Drosophila melanogaster: one gene and its partner. Changing the gene in region 1 together with any one later gene gives a genetic interaction. Each region holds a gene or a part of one and is shown in the gene's direction. Other genes may lie near its edges.

Evidence for each region. Genes that interact genetically often act in the same process or in processes that back each other up.
Region 2: of kek5 (region 1) and sax, changing one enhances a phenotype caused by changing the other (phenotypic enhancement), as found in Drosophila melanogaster (one study listed by BioGRID).

Annotation. Positions count from the first base shown.
Region 1 is NC_004354.4:19,351,326-19,356,214, forward strand, and holds the start of kek5 (kekkon 5), read left to right. Parts: upstream 1-1,855; 5' UTR 1,856-2,328; intron 2,329-4,889.
Region 2 is NT_033778.4:7,804,721-7,810,610, forward strand, and holds sax (saxophone), read left to right. Parts: upstream 1-1,763; 5' UTR 1,764-1,817; coding exon 1,818-1,878; exon of another isoform or gene 1,879-2,292; intron 2,293-2,351; coding exon 2,352-2,481; intron 2,482-2,595; coding exon 2,596-2,631; intron 2,632-2,848; coding exon 2,849-2,924; intron 2,925-2,987; coding exon 2,988-3,646; intron 3,647-3,789; coding exon 3,790-4,200; intron 4,201-4,261; coding exon 4,262-4,487; intron 4,488-4,549; coding exon 4,550-4,699; 3' UTR 4,700-5,347; downstream 5,348-5,890. Other genes in the region: Nop17l (Nop17 like), read right to left, coding at 1-16; TTLL12 (tubulin tyrosine ligase-like 12), read right to left, coding at 5,386-5,890.

The DNA of each region.
Region 1 (4,889 bases):
TATATGTAAGTCCTAGATAGGAAGGATATAAAAGAATATTAAATAAAACGAACATAGAAGATGGTTACCTTGTTCTCATGAAATGTGTGTTCTATTTTTATGATCCTAGCTTGATTTGGTGCTTATGTGCCCAGTTTATAGCATAATTTGTCATAATTAATTTGGCGTCCATCTGTGTTTAGTCTACTGTACATTTCAAAATGCTGCAATACCAATTGTAACCTATCATGATCGAGCAGCATTTCATTTAGTTTCTGCATTTCAAATCAAAAAAATATACATCTTTTATTTTAAAACTTACACAATCAATTGGCGAAAAAATCGATTGCTCGCCAACACTTCTATTTCCCTATAACAAAAGATGCGTTTTTTAAATAAATAAAAAAACCAGTATTTTTTCTGTAAAAGATTTACTTTGCTTGTTTAAATTTTTTTAATTAGAAATCAAATTAACCAAATTTAAAATTAGGGTGTCCATAATTAGTTGTCGACTTTTACATTTCAAAACATTTTCAAGAAGTGTAGGCGTGGCAGATTTGAGCGATTTGTGGGCGTTAAAGTGGAGGTGCCAACATTACTTGACAACTAACTTGCGCTGCGTATGCCTCTTAAATCTTCAGGTCTAATAAAAAATTAGCTTCACTTTCTGGTATCTCTTATAAATAAATAGGAAATAAAGCTATATTAATATTAAGGCATAATAACAAACATCGAAAACTTCCAAAATTAAGCAATTTAAAGTATCTTTCATTGAAATGTAGTAATAATGCCATTGCTCTTATGCTATTATCAATGTGTACTGGTTTCCCATGATACCTTACTATTTAATTTTATGTAAAGGGAACCTTACATATTTATGTATTGGATTGGAATTGCCACTCGTTTCTCGCAGTGTATCTGGCTGGCTCCACACATGGGCGCGTGTATGCTCTCCCCTTACTGACGTACTTAATTCTTCGCAGTTATTCAGGGGCACAGAGAACGCTTCACTTTCCTTCTTTTTTCGCCGGTGACGTAATTAATGATGCTAGCCGCTGAAATTTTAAAATGAATTGCACTACCAAGCAGCAGCTCCTTTCCATTTTGTTCGACGATCAGAGGTCTTAAAATCAAACTTCTGTCAACTGGCTGATGAATTCATTCAGTTTCTAACGTTCGCGATGGAGCTGAAATTCTTATTTTGTGTTCAACTGATTTTTTGAATACATATGTATATATTTTGTACTGAGCTCTGTTCTTGAGAAGGGAGAATCTATAGTCGAGTATATCGGTTACTTGGCTAATGGAAATGCGAACGCGAAATTTTAACATTTTTCTTAGGTAGATATTATTGGGGAATGAAATAAGAAACTATTTAAAAATTGCTTGGGTAGTTTTTGGCGGCTTGTGAGCGTTAGAGTGGGCGTGGCAAAATGGGTCAACAAACTGGCTCTGCGTCTATGTTTATGTATAGAACATGTATGCTTAATCTCAACATCCTAGCTGTACAATAAGACAAAAAAAAAAAAACACATTTCATTGGCATCAGAATCGTTAAGGGTAAAATTGTCACGACTTTCGTACCATGGTTTTGTTTGATTTGATTATGGTGATAACTAAAATTATTTTTTTTTATTGAAAAAAAATTATTGATTTTAATTTTTTTTGTTTTTGTATACATTCATTAAGTGAAAAATCGCCGTAAATTTGATTTTATAATTCGTTACACACGTTTTGTTTCAGTGCTTTGTTGCTGTTGCAACCCCTCAGCTGACGTTCCAGTCGAACATGTTGCATGACGGCTCGGCTTAGTTCGGTTCGGTTCGCTGCGACTCGGTTCGATGCGGCTCGAGCGGCCTGCTCTCGAACAGATGTGCGTCGCAGTGTTGTTGCAAACGCCGGTCGCGTAGGTTGTTGCTAGAGTGAAACGTCGAGCGCATCGCCCACCCACATACACATATGTACGTACTCGAGTGCGCGAAGCAGTCAGTTGTTGCCGCCAATTGAATGGACAGTCGCGGTTAACGAAACACGAAAAGTCGTCTCGACTCGCCTCGCGTCGCGTGGAGTTCACTTGAGTTGAGTGGCGGCTAGTGTGTGTGTGTTTGCTTTTTTTTTCGAACGCCGCCAAACACGCGGCTGTTGCGGCTGTCCCGGAGTGCATTACTCACACTTTTTTTTCGGTTACTTGCAAGTGATACCCCTTAAACGAAAACAACAACAAGCCCCCCCCACCCACACACCACTTCAACCCCCTCACAAGCAGCTAAAGCCAAAAGGTGATTATATTTGGAAAAGTCACGCCGTGGAGTAAATAACGGAGCGGAGAGCGGATCAACACAAAGCGTGGTAAAGAGAGTGGAGAGATAAAGAGTTAAAATAAGTGCATAGAGTGCGAGTGGGAGAGATAGAGCGAGCGAGCGGGAGGGAGAGTGTAAGTGCTGCCCGTGTGTGAGAGTGTGTGTGTCTGTCTTCATGTACGTATGTGGCTTCTTTCAATGGTAGTCGTGTGTACCCGTTGAACCGGTTCAACACTCATCTTCGACTTACCTGCAAAACAACAGAAGCAGCAATGATAACAACAACAACAACGACAACAGCAGCGACTGCAGCGTGGTTTGTGCTTGGAAAAACATGAAAAACTGAAACTGAAGCAAAATGCAGCATCGCCAGAAGCAGCAGCAACAACAAAACGAGAACAACAACGTGCAGCTGCAGCAATTGTAATGTCAAATGAATCAAACAAACTGCATCATTTGCGTTTCCGAAGGCAGGAAAATAAGGGAAAGGCAAAGAAATGAAGAAAACATACATATTACATATGTATATATAAACATATATATTTAGGTATATATGTACGTATGTACGTAAAGTGCAGTCTGCAGTTTAAAAGCCATTAACCCCCAAAAACTGAAGTAACGAACCATCCGCACGGAGATCGCTGTTTTCCCCACTGAACTAACTTAATTCGTTTAGCCAGAATACACTGATCCCGTTGCAAATTGGTGGCTAATATGCAATATGATATTTAATTTGCAACCATATATTCTGCATATTTCACGCGTGTGTGCGTGAGCGCTGTAGGGTTAATACGAGAGCGCTCACTACCTGCGCGCCCTGCCAAGGGTTAAGCACTCAGGCAAGAAGTTTCGCGTGTAATTGACGTTGCCAAAAATTAAGAAAGAAAGAAAAACAAACAAACAAACGCAGAACAAAACAAAACAAAACAAACCAGTAAGGGAAGAACAAAAGCACGAACAGAAATTAGAAGACAGCGAACAGAAGAGAAACTTAACTTTTTCTCTGTTCTTATTTCAGGTTATATACCCTTGCAGATGGCACATTAAATTCGGTATATCGGAATATCATGATCAGTATTTAGAGTCTAATTAACGGTCCACCTGTCCGTTTGTCTGTCCATTTCCATAAAAAAAAGTCTCAGTTTTATAGCTATTGCATCATGTACATAGCTGTCATAGGAAAAATAAGAAAATTAACTGAAAGTGATAAAATAATCATCGGTTCTTAATCATGAAGTATTGCTCGGTATACAGGTGTTTTGTATTATTACTGCAAGGGTATGTAAGTTTCGGCTTACTTTCTTGTTCGCTTTTTTGTGTGTTTGTCCATGCAGTACAGTTAGCCGCCAGTGGTACTGTCGAAGTGTGCGTGTGTTTCTGCGGGTGCTATTACCTTGGTATTATTGGTAGGTATGTAGGTGCGTGTGTGTGTGTGTGTGTGTGTGAGTTGGTGTTTTTGGCGGAGCACTTTTTGTTTTCATGAATTTATCCTTGGGACGAATAAGAACTGCAGGCGAAAGGAGCGAAAATGTAGCAGGAGGACAGGGGAAATCGGGAAAGCTAAAAACAAACAAAGGGATTAGCAAAGATGCGAATATTGCGGCCCAGAAATTAAGACCACAAGAAAAAGTGCCAATAAGAGTTGTTGGGAAACAATTGGAGGATATACCCACGCCCAAACATTTTTGATGTGTATGCAGTGTATGCATTCGCTTTGAGGAATGCTTCATCTGGTTTCATCAATCTTTTGACGGAAATGGAGTTTATACATATGTATACTATCCTAGAAATGCTATAAATTAAAATAGTGCGCGTTATTTACGGAAAATATAAAATCTGTAGTCAAAATTTATGTTTACTACCCTAAATTTTTATGGGTATTAAATGGTATAATATGATTATGGATCTAATTTTGGGGCGCCTTTTTACTACAAGCCAAATTAAATATGACAGAAATGGAATTTTTCGATTTAGGGATGCGTACGACTATTATGATTTCCTCATGACGAAAATAGATTTTCCACTTCAAAAGACAAATATTCCCTACTCTTTCTACTGAGTAACATAGAAAAGCGGTGCAGAAATCTACACTTAATTTTTGTCTCACAAAACACTTGGATCAAACAGAAACAACAAATTTGGTACCCATACAATATGTACAGTTGCCACAAAAACGATCAAGACCAATTAGAAATGTGTATGTATGTATTTGATTGAAAGCAATTATTAAACAAAATTCACTTAAGTATTGTTTTTTTTTTTATTTTCTACATGAACCATTAATCGAAATGATACTAAAAGGAACATGTGAGACATTTATAAACAAGCACTTGAAGCCATATGTACATACATACATAGCATAGATTAGTCGTCAATCTTATAGATAAAATGTTGTAAAAAACGTTCTGCAATAAATAAGATTTACAATTAAAAACCAAATAAGCACATGAAAGGGATTTTCTTTTCTATGGCTTTGAACATCTCACATCTGTAATATTACATTCAACCCAAGTAAGTGTAATTAAAGATTATCCAAGGAAAGCCTGAATAAGGATTTTAGAAAAATCATAAATAACGTTAAGCAAAAAGTACTTGAAGAGATTTACCTTC
Region 2 (5,890 bases), on another chromosome or scaffold:
ATCTAGATGCGGACATAGCTTTCTCGCAGGCACACTTCACTCACGGAGGGATCTCTTCGGTCTCCTCTTCTCTCCTCGGCACTTTTACTACACAAATACAAATTTTCTTATCACTTCGACGGGTTTTGATTTTTTGTTTGTTTCTATTTGTTAGGGGTTGCTCAGTTTTGGGCCACGTTTCCTTGGCAAATGCGTTGGGTTTCTATTTCTGGAAGGTTCTGAAAGTACAAATAAACATAGATGTAAGTACGGACAATCTTGTAAGATAATCAGCTATCTTATATTACGAATGTATAACTGCAATAACAACAAGACAAGTCGTTTGGGAAAAATTACTAGTTTTTCTGTTTCGGCTATACATATGTAAGTTCTATGTATACCTGGCTATTTTATAGTTTTGCAAATAAACCTTGAGGGCATGACTAAATCTTGCGGAACCTGGCGAAACTCTGGAAACTTTCCAATCGAATCTGAGATAAGCCAAGTAAGTACCAGGTCCCAAGGTTGCCCTAGGTCCTGACCATTTCGCAGCCAAAAAAAAACACCGAGCTGGCATTTAATCAAATTCTAATCAGCAGATAGGCAAATAAATATTAAATCAATGACGCAGAAAGGTCGCTGTCGAAAATCACCGGCTATCCGCCGGATTTACGGGCATTATGTAAGTAGATACACATGTGTGTAGATGACTACAAACTGACCACGAGTTTTTTTTTTACTTGTCGGCCAATAAATAAATAAACGAACTGCGTAGTTTGTGAAATTCTAGGAGAACGCGTAAATGTTTTCTGTTTTTTTTTTCGAGTTTTGGTGCGATGCTTTCCCGACGAGCGTTTTTATGAGAATGGGAGCGCTACGCCCGAAACGCCGGCAAATATTGGAGGCTCTTTGCGAGTCGAGCGGCCCACAGAGAGAGCGTCCTCTGCGCAGTGAGGGGCTTTTGATAAGCGCGAAAAAAACCACTTGCCCCAATTGTTTTTGTTTAGCGGGATTCTGCCCCCGCAGCCCCTGCGCTCACACACACATTATGCGATTTCTGGCGCAACCCAACTAATTGTACAATAAACGACCACATCTCTACACACATATGTATGTATATACAAAGATAATGTTTGTATTGCGTCTGCCAACTGATATTACAAACTTATGTACATACATATATGTGCAGGAGGGCGGGGGTGGTAATTGGGGGGTCAGTAAGATGATTCCCTACGGCGTGTGTATCTTCTCCATTGCAAGGAAAACGAGGAAAATTATAACAGTTACGTGACTAAAAACACATGTTTGCGCTGTGGGAGGGGGAAAACTCTGTCGTTTGATCGATACTAGCTGAAACCCATTGATTTTCTGGACAAACCGGTCGCAGTGGACATGAAAACCCTAACTAAGCAAATGTTTTGTTATATTCCATGACACCGGGTAGGTAAATCCGTTAATTTCACTCAGGAAAACAACTTAATGGCACGAAAACTCCTCCACTGAAGATCTCCTGCTTCTCCACTTACCTAAATTGAACACAATTATGCTTTGTGAACACAACGGCACTGAATAAAATAATTGTCTGTTAAATGGGCTCCTTTGCCAAAGACTCTTTGATGGGAGTTCGAGTTTGACGTTCTAGAAACTTTTCCGCTGACCGGCTGCTCGTGTTGGTGTGCGTGTTGTGCTTTGGTATTTTTACGCAGGGGATTTGGGAAATTTGAAGACCCGGTATTTTATGTGAAATATGTTATGTGCAGATGTGGGCCCTGGTCACACTGCCCGCTAGAAGTATATCGATAGGTTCCGATAGGCTCGGACAAATAACATTTCTAGCAATGGAGTCCAATATATATTTAGTTTTTCTATTGACGTTTCTGCTGTACAATAATGCCAGAGGTGGGCATCAATTAGTGTTAATCAATTACCAAGTGCTTGGTGAAGAGAGTGCGCAAGAGAAATTTCGATTTTATGGGGTTTTAGAGCCACATATAATGCCTTGAAAAGTCACTGAGTGTTTTGGGTTTGTTTTCATATGCTGCGGTTCTGGCCAATTGCGTTGCGTATTTGGCCAGGCCAAGGCGAAAAAAGTGCCCTCGGAATGCTGATTGGTGAAAGAAGCACCTGATGGATCCCACAGAATGTATTATATAAACGGATGTCGTGGGCGTTTGCAGCATAAGTGCATTTTCTCAATGATTTACCCACGCACACCACCGTTCTGTGTGTGTATACAGAACTTGCTGGGGCGCCTGTGTGCATGTGTGTGTGTGTGTTAGTGCTGGTGGCGTTTGTGTTGGTTGGGCCGTCCATGTGTGTACATATGTATATGCTATGTGCATATGGTTTAATGTGCATTTGTTATGTTTCAGCCGAAATCAGCGATCATCTGCGGGAGGACATACCGGACTTAGACATGGAGCTCTCCTCCGCCTCATCCGCCCATCTCAATGGCAAGGAGCTACCGGCCGTGCCACAGAACTCGGTGCAGACGCATCCCAGGTGATTATATCTTAAGTCTTGAGCCCATAGCTTGTAGCTCCCGCTTCCGCCCAAAGGCTTTGTATTGCTAATCTCATTTCCCTCCTAATTGCCATGCTGCTAATCCTTAATTAGGAGACACATTAAGAGTAAGCGCCGCATGAAGAGAAGGTAAAACCTACACGACTCATGAACTAAAACATCATAAACTGGTTAACTTTTAGTTAAAATTTTGAAAATATTCATAATTTTACTTAAAAAACCCCATTTTTTTTAAATATTTTATAGTATATTATACTTTTATACCCAAATGTTAACAATTAAAAGCTGCCCGTTTGCGTAACCGATTCTTCTTCAATCTTATTAAACTCTCTCTTTTTTTTATCAGATACAAATGCTACTCCTGCGAGCCGCCCTGTCGGGATCCCTATGAGTTTACCCACACCTGCCAGAATGCGATTCAGGTGAATACTCCACCTTAAACTTGATTAAAACTTAAATGTAACTTAATTTCCGAACTTCAACAGTGCTGGAAGTCGCGCACACGCGATGCCGATGGTCAGGTGCAGGAGTCACGCGGCTGCAGCACCTCGCCGGATCAACTGCCCATGATCTGCAGCCAGAACTCCTTGAAGATCAACGGGCCCAGTAAACGCAATACGGGGAAGTTCGTGAATGTGGTCTGCTGTGCCGGTGATTACTGCAATGAGGGAGACTTTCCGGAACTGCTGCCCTTCGACAGCAATGATGTGACGGTGATAACCGCGGATACCAGTAGCATAAGCAAGATGCTCGTCGCCGTTCTGGGTCCTTTTCTGGTCATCGCTCTGCTGGGCGCCGTGACCATCTTCTTCATTCGTCGTAGCCATCGCAAGCGTCTGGCTGCCTCGCGAACCAAACAGGACCCGGAAGCGTATCTGGTCAATGATGAGCTGCTCCGCGCCACCAGCGCCGGGGACAGTACGCTGAGGGAGTATCTGCAGCACTCGGTGACCTCCGGCTCGGGCAGCGGATTGCCGCTGCTAGTGCAGCGTACGCTAGCCAAACAGGTCACCCTGATCGAGTGCATTGGACGAGGCAAATACGGCGAGGTTTGGCGCGGTCACTGGCATGGCGAAAGCATCGCCGTGAAGATATTCTTCAGTCGCGACGAGGAGTCCTGGAAGCGGGAGACAGAGATATATAGGTGAGCAACAGATTATTTGTGACTCTGTAATTTGTAGCTGTAGAAATTTTTAACTGTTTCCCCAGAAGAAAAGTGCCCTAGTCCAGTCATGACTACCTACCTGTTGCTCTATGAATCATAAATAATCGTTCTTTGTTTTTCAGCACCATATTGCTACGACATGAAAATATTCTGGGATTCATCGGCTCTGACATGACGTCGCGGAACTCGTGCACCCAACTTTGGCTGATGACGCACTACTATCCACTGGGCTCGCTCTTTGATCACCTAAACCGTAACGCCCTAAGCCACAACGATATGGTATGGATTTGCCTGTCCATAGCTAATGGGCTGGTACACTTGCACACAGAGATATTCGGCAAGCAAGGCAAGCCAGCTATGGCCCACCGCGATTTGAAGTCAAAGAATATACTGGTCACCTCGAACGGCTCCTGCGTGATAGCCGATTTTGGACTGGCCGTTACCCATTCGCACGTCACAGGACAACTGGACCTGGGCAACAACCCCAAAGTGGGCACCAAGCGCTACATGGCCCCAGAGGTTCTTGATGAAAGGTGTGTGCTTATTGGCAGTACAAAAAAGAATATTTTTACATTAACAATTTGTCTATTGTAGCATTGATTTAGAATGCTTCGAAGCACTACGCCGGACAGATATTTACGCATTTGGACTTGTCCTCTGGGAGGTTTGTCGCCGCACCATTTCTTGCGGCATAGCAGAGGAGTACAAGGTGCCCTTCTACGATGTGGTGCCAATGGATCCCAGCTTCGAGGATATGCGCAAGGTGGTCTGCATCGACAACTACAGGCCCTCCATTCCCAATCGCTGGAGCTCGGATTCGGTAAGTCGCTTTCGATTGCCATTCTCTAGATCTTTGATCTCATTGTTGTTCTCATTTTTTAGTTAATGACTGGCATGTCCAAGCTCATGAAGGAGTGCTGGCACCAAAACCCCGACGTGCGCTTGCCAGCGCTGCGCATCAAAAAGACTATACATAAGCTGGCTTCCGCTGACGAGAAGATACGCCTGGACTTCGACGAGGTCTGCGTTTAGTGGTAGTAGTCGAGCCTTAGCTGTAAGCGGTAATTTAGTTGTACCACATAGGTAGTCTAAGATTCATTCATTGACATACCCTGCATTTCACACTATTAGTTCGTAGGTATATTATTCAAAGCTAAGCCAAGATCCTGCGTGTTGAAGCAAACTAATCCAAGTACAAGACCCTTGGGAGCTTATAGTTATATAGAAGACTTTAACATATTTACTTTATGTTTGGATTGACTTTATCGTTTCCGTTCCACCGTGAGCCTAGCCTGAAAAGGGTGCCTTTGAAATTGCCTTAAGTTAAAGTTAGCATCGACTCTAATGTATGTTCTTGGGATATCATCCTGTAAAGTTGTCATTTCACTATTTACCATTATTCATTGTTCATCAAGTGCCATTTGCAATTGAGAATTGTAAACGCCTTAACTTTAAGCTCACTCTTTGAACTTTACACTAAATTCATAACTCTAGAACTTGTCCATGCTATGATAAAACCATAAGCCACACCACCAACTGACTTGCTATCTTAGTTAGTTAAGCCTTTAGGACTTAGATACCCACGCATAGAAGCATACACACCTACTTGTATATTGTACAAATGGCAAGCTATTTAAGTTTTGTATAGTCTAAACGAAATGAAATACACGAATAGGCATTAAACTTTGGGATAACTGGGTTTATTTGCTCGGTTAATGTCAATTGTCTGGCGTCAGTACCCGGAAGCTATCGTCGTTTTCTTCGTCTAGGAAGAGCAGACGGAAGATGTCGTTGAAGAAGTCGGGATAGTAGTCGCATGCGCGTTTGCAGTCCGGAGTCCAGTTGATTTCCAGCAACTGGGGCTCCATCAACTTCTCCTTATCGTCCTTCCACCGCAGCATGATGTCGGCTGCGTAAAGAGCTCGTGATTGGGCACAAGGAGCCAGGCCGCAGGGTGGATCTGCTTGACTGGCGCACTGAAGCACCTCGAGCAGCATGCTACAGATCTGCTGCTCCAGAGCCGACCAATCGTTATCCGGATACTGTTCCTGCCAGAGCGTCAGGAAGTCGTCGCACTTGACGTGATGCAGCTGCGCCTCCGTCTGGTAGTTCATCACCGTGTAGTGTTTCTCGTAGTCATCGAAGTGATCCAGCGTGAAGGGATGGTTTGCGAAACGCAGGAAGAACTTCCGGTGTATATATGCCTTCAGGGGTTTGACGCTT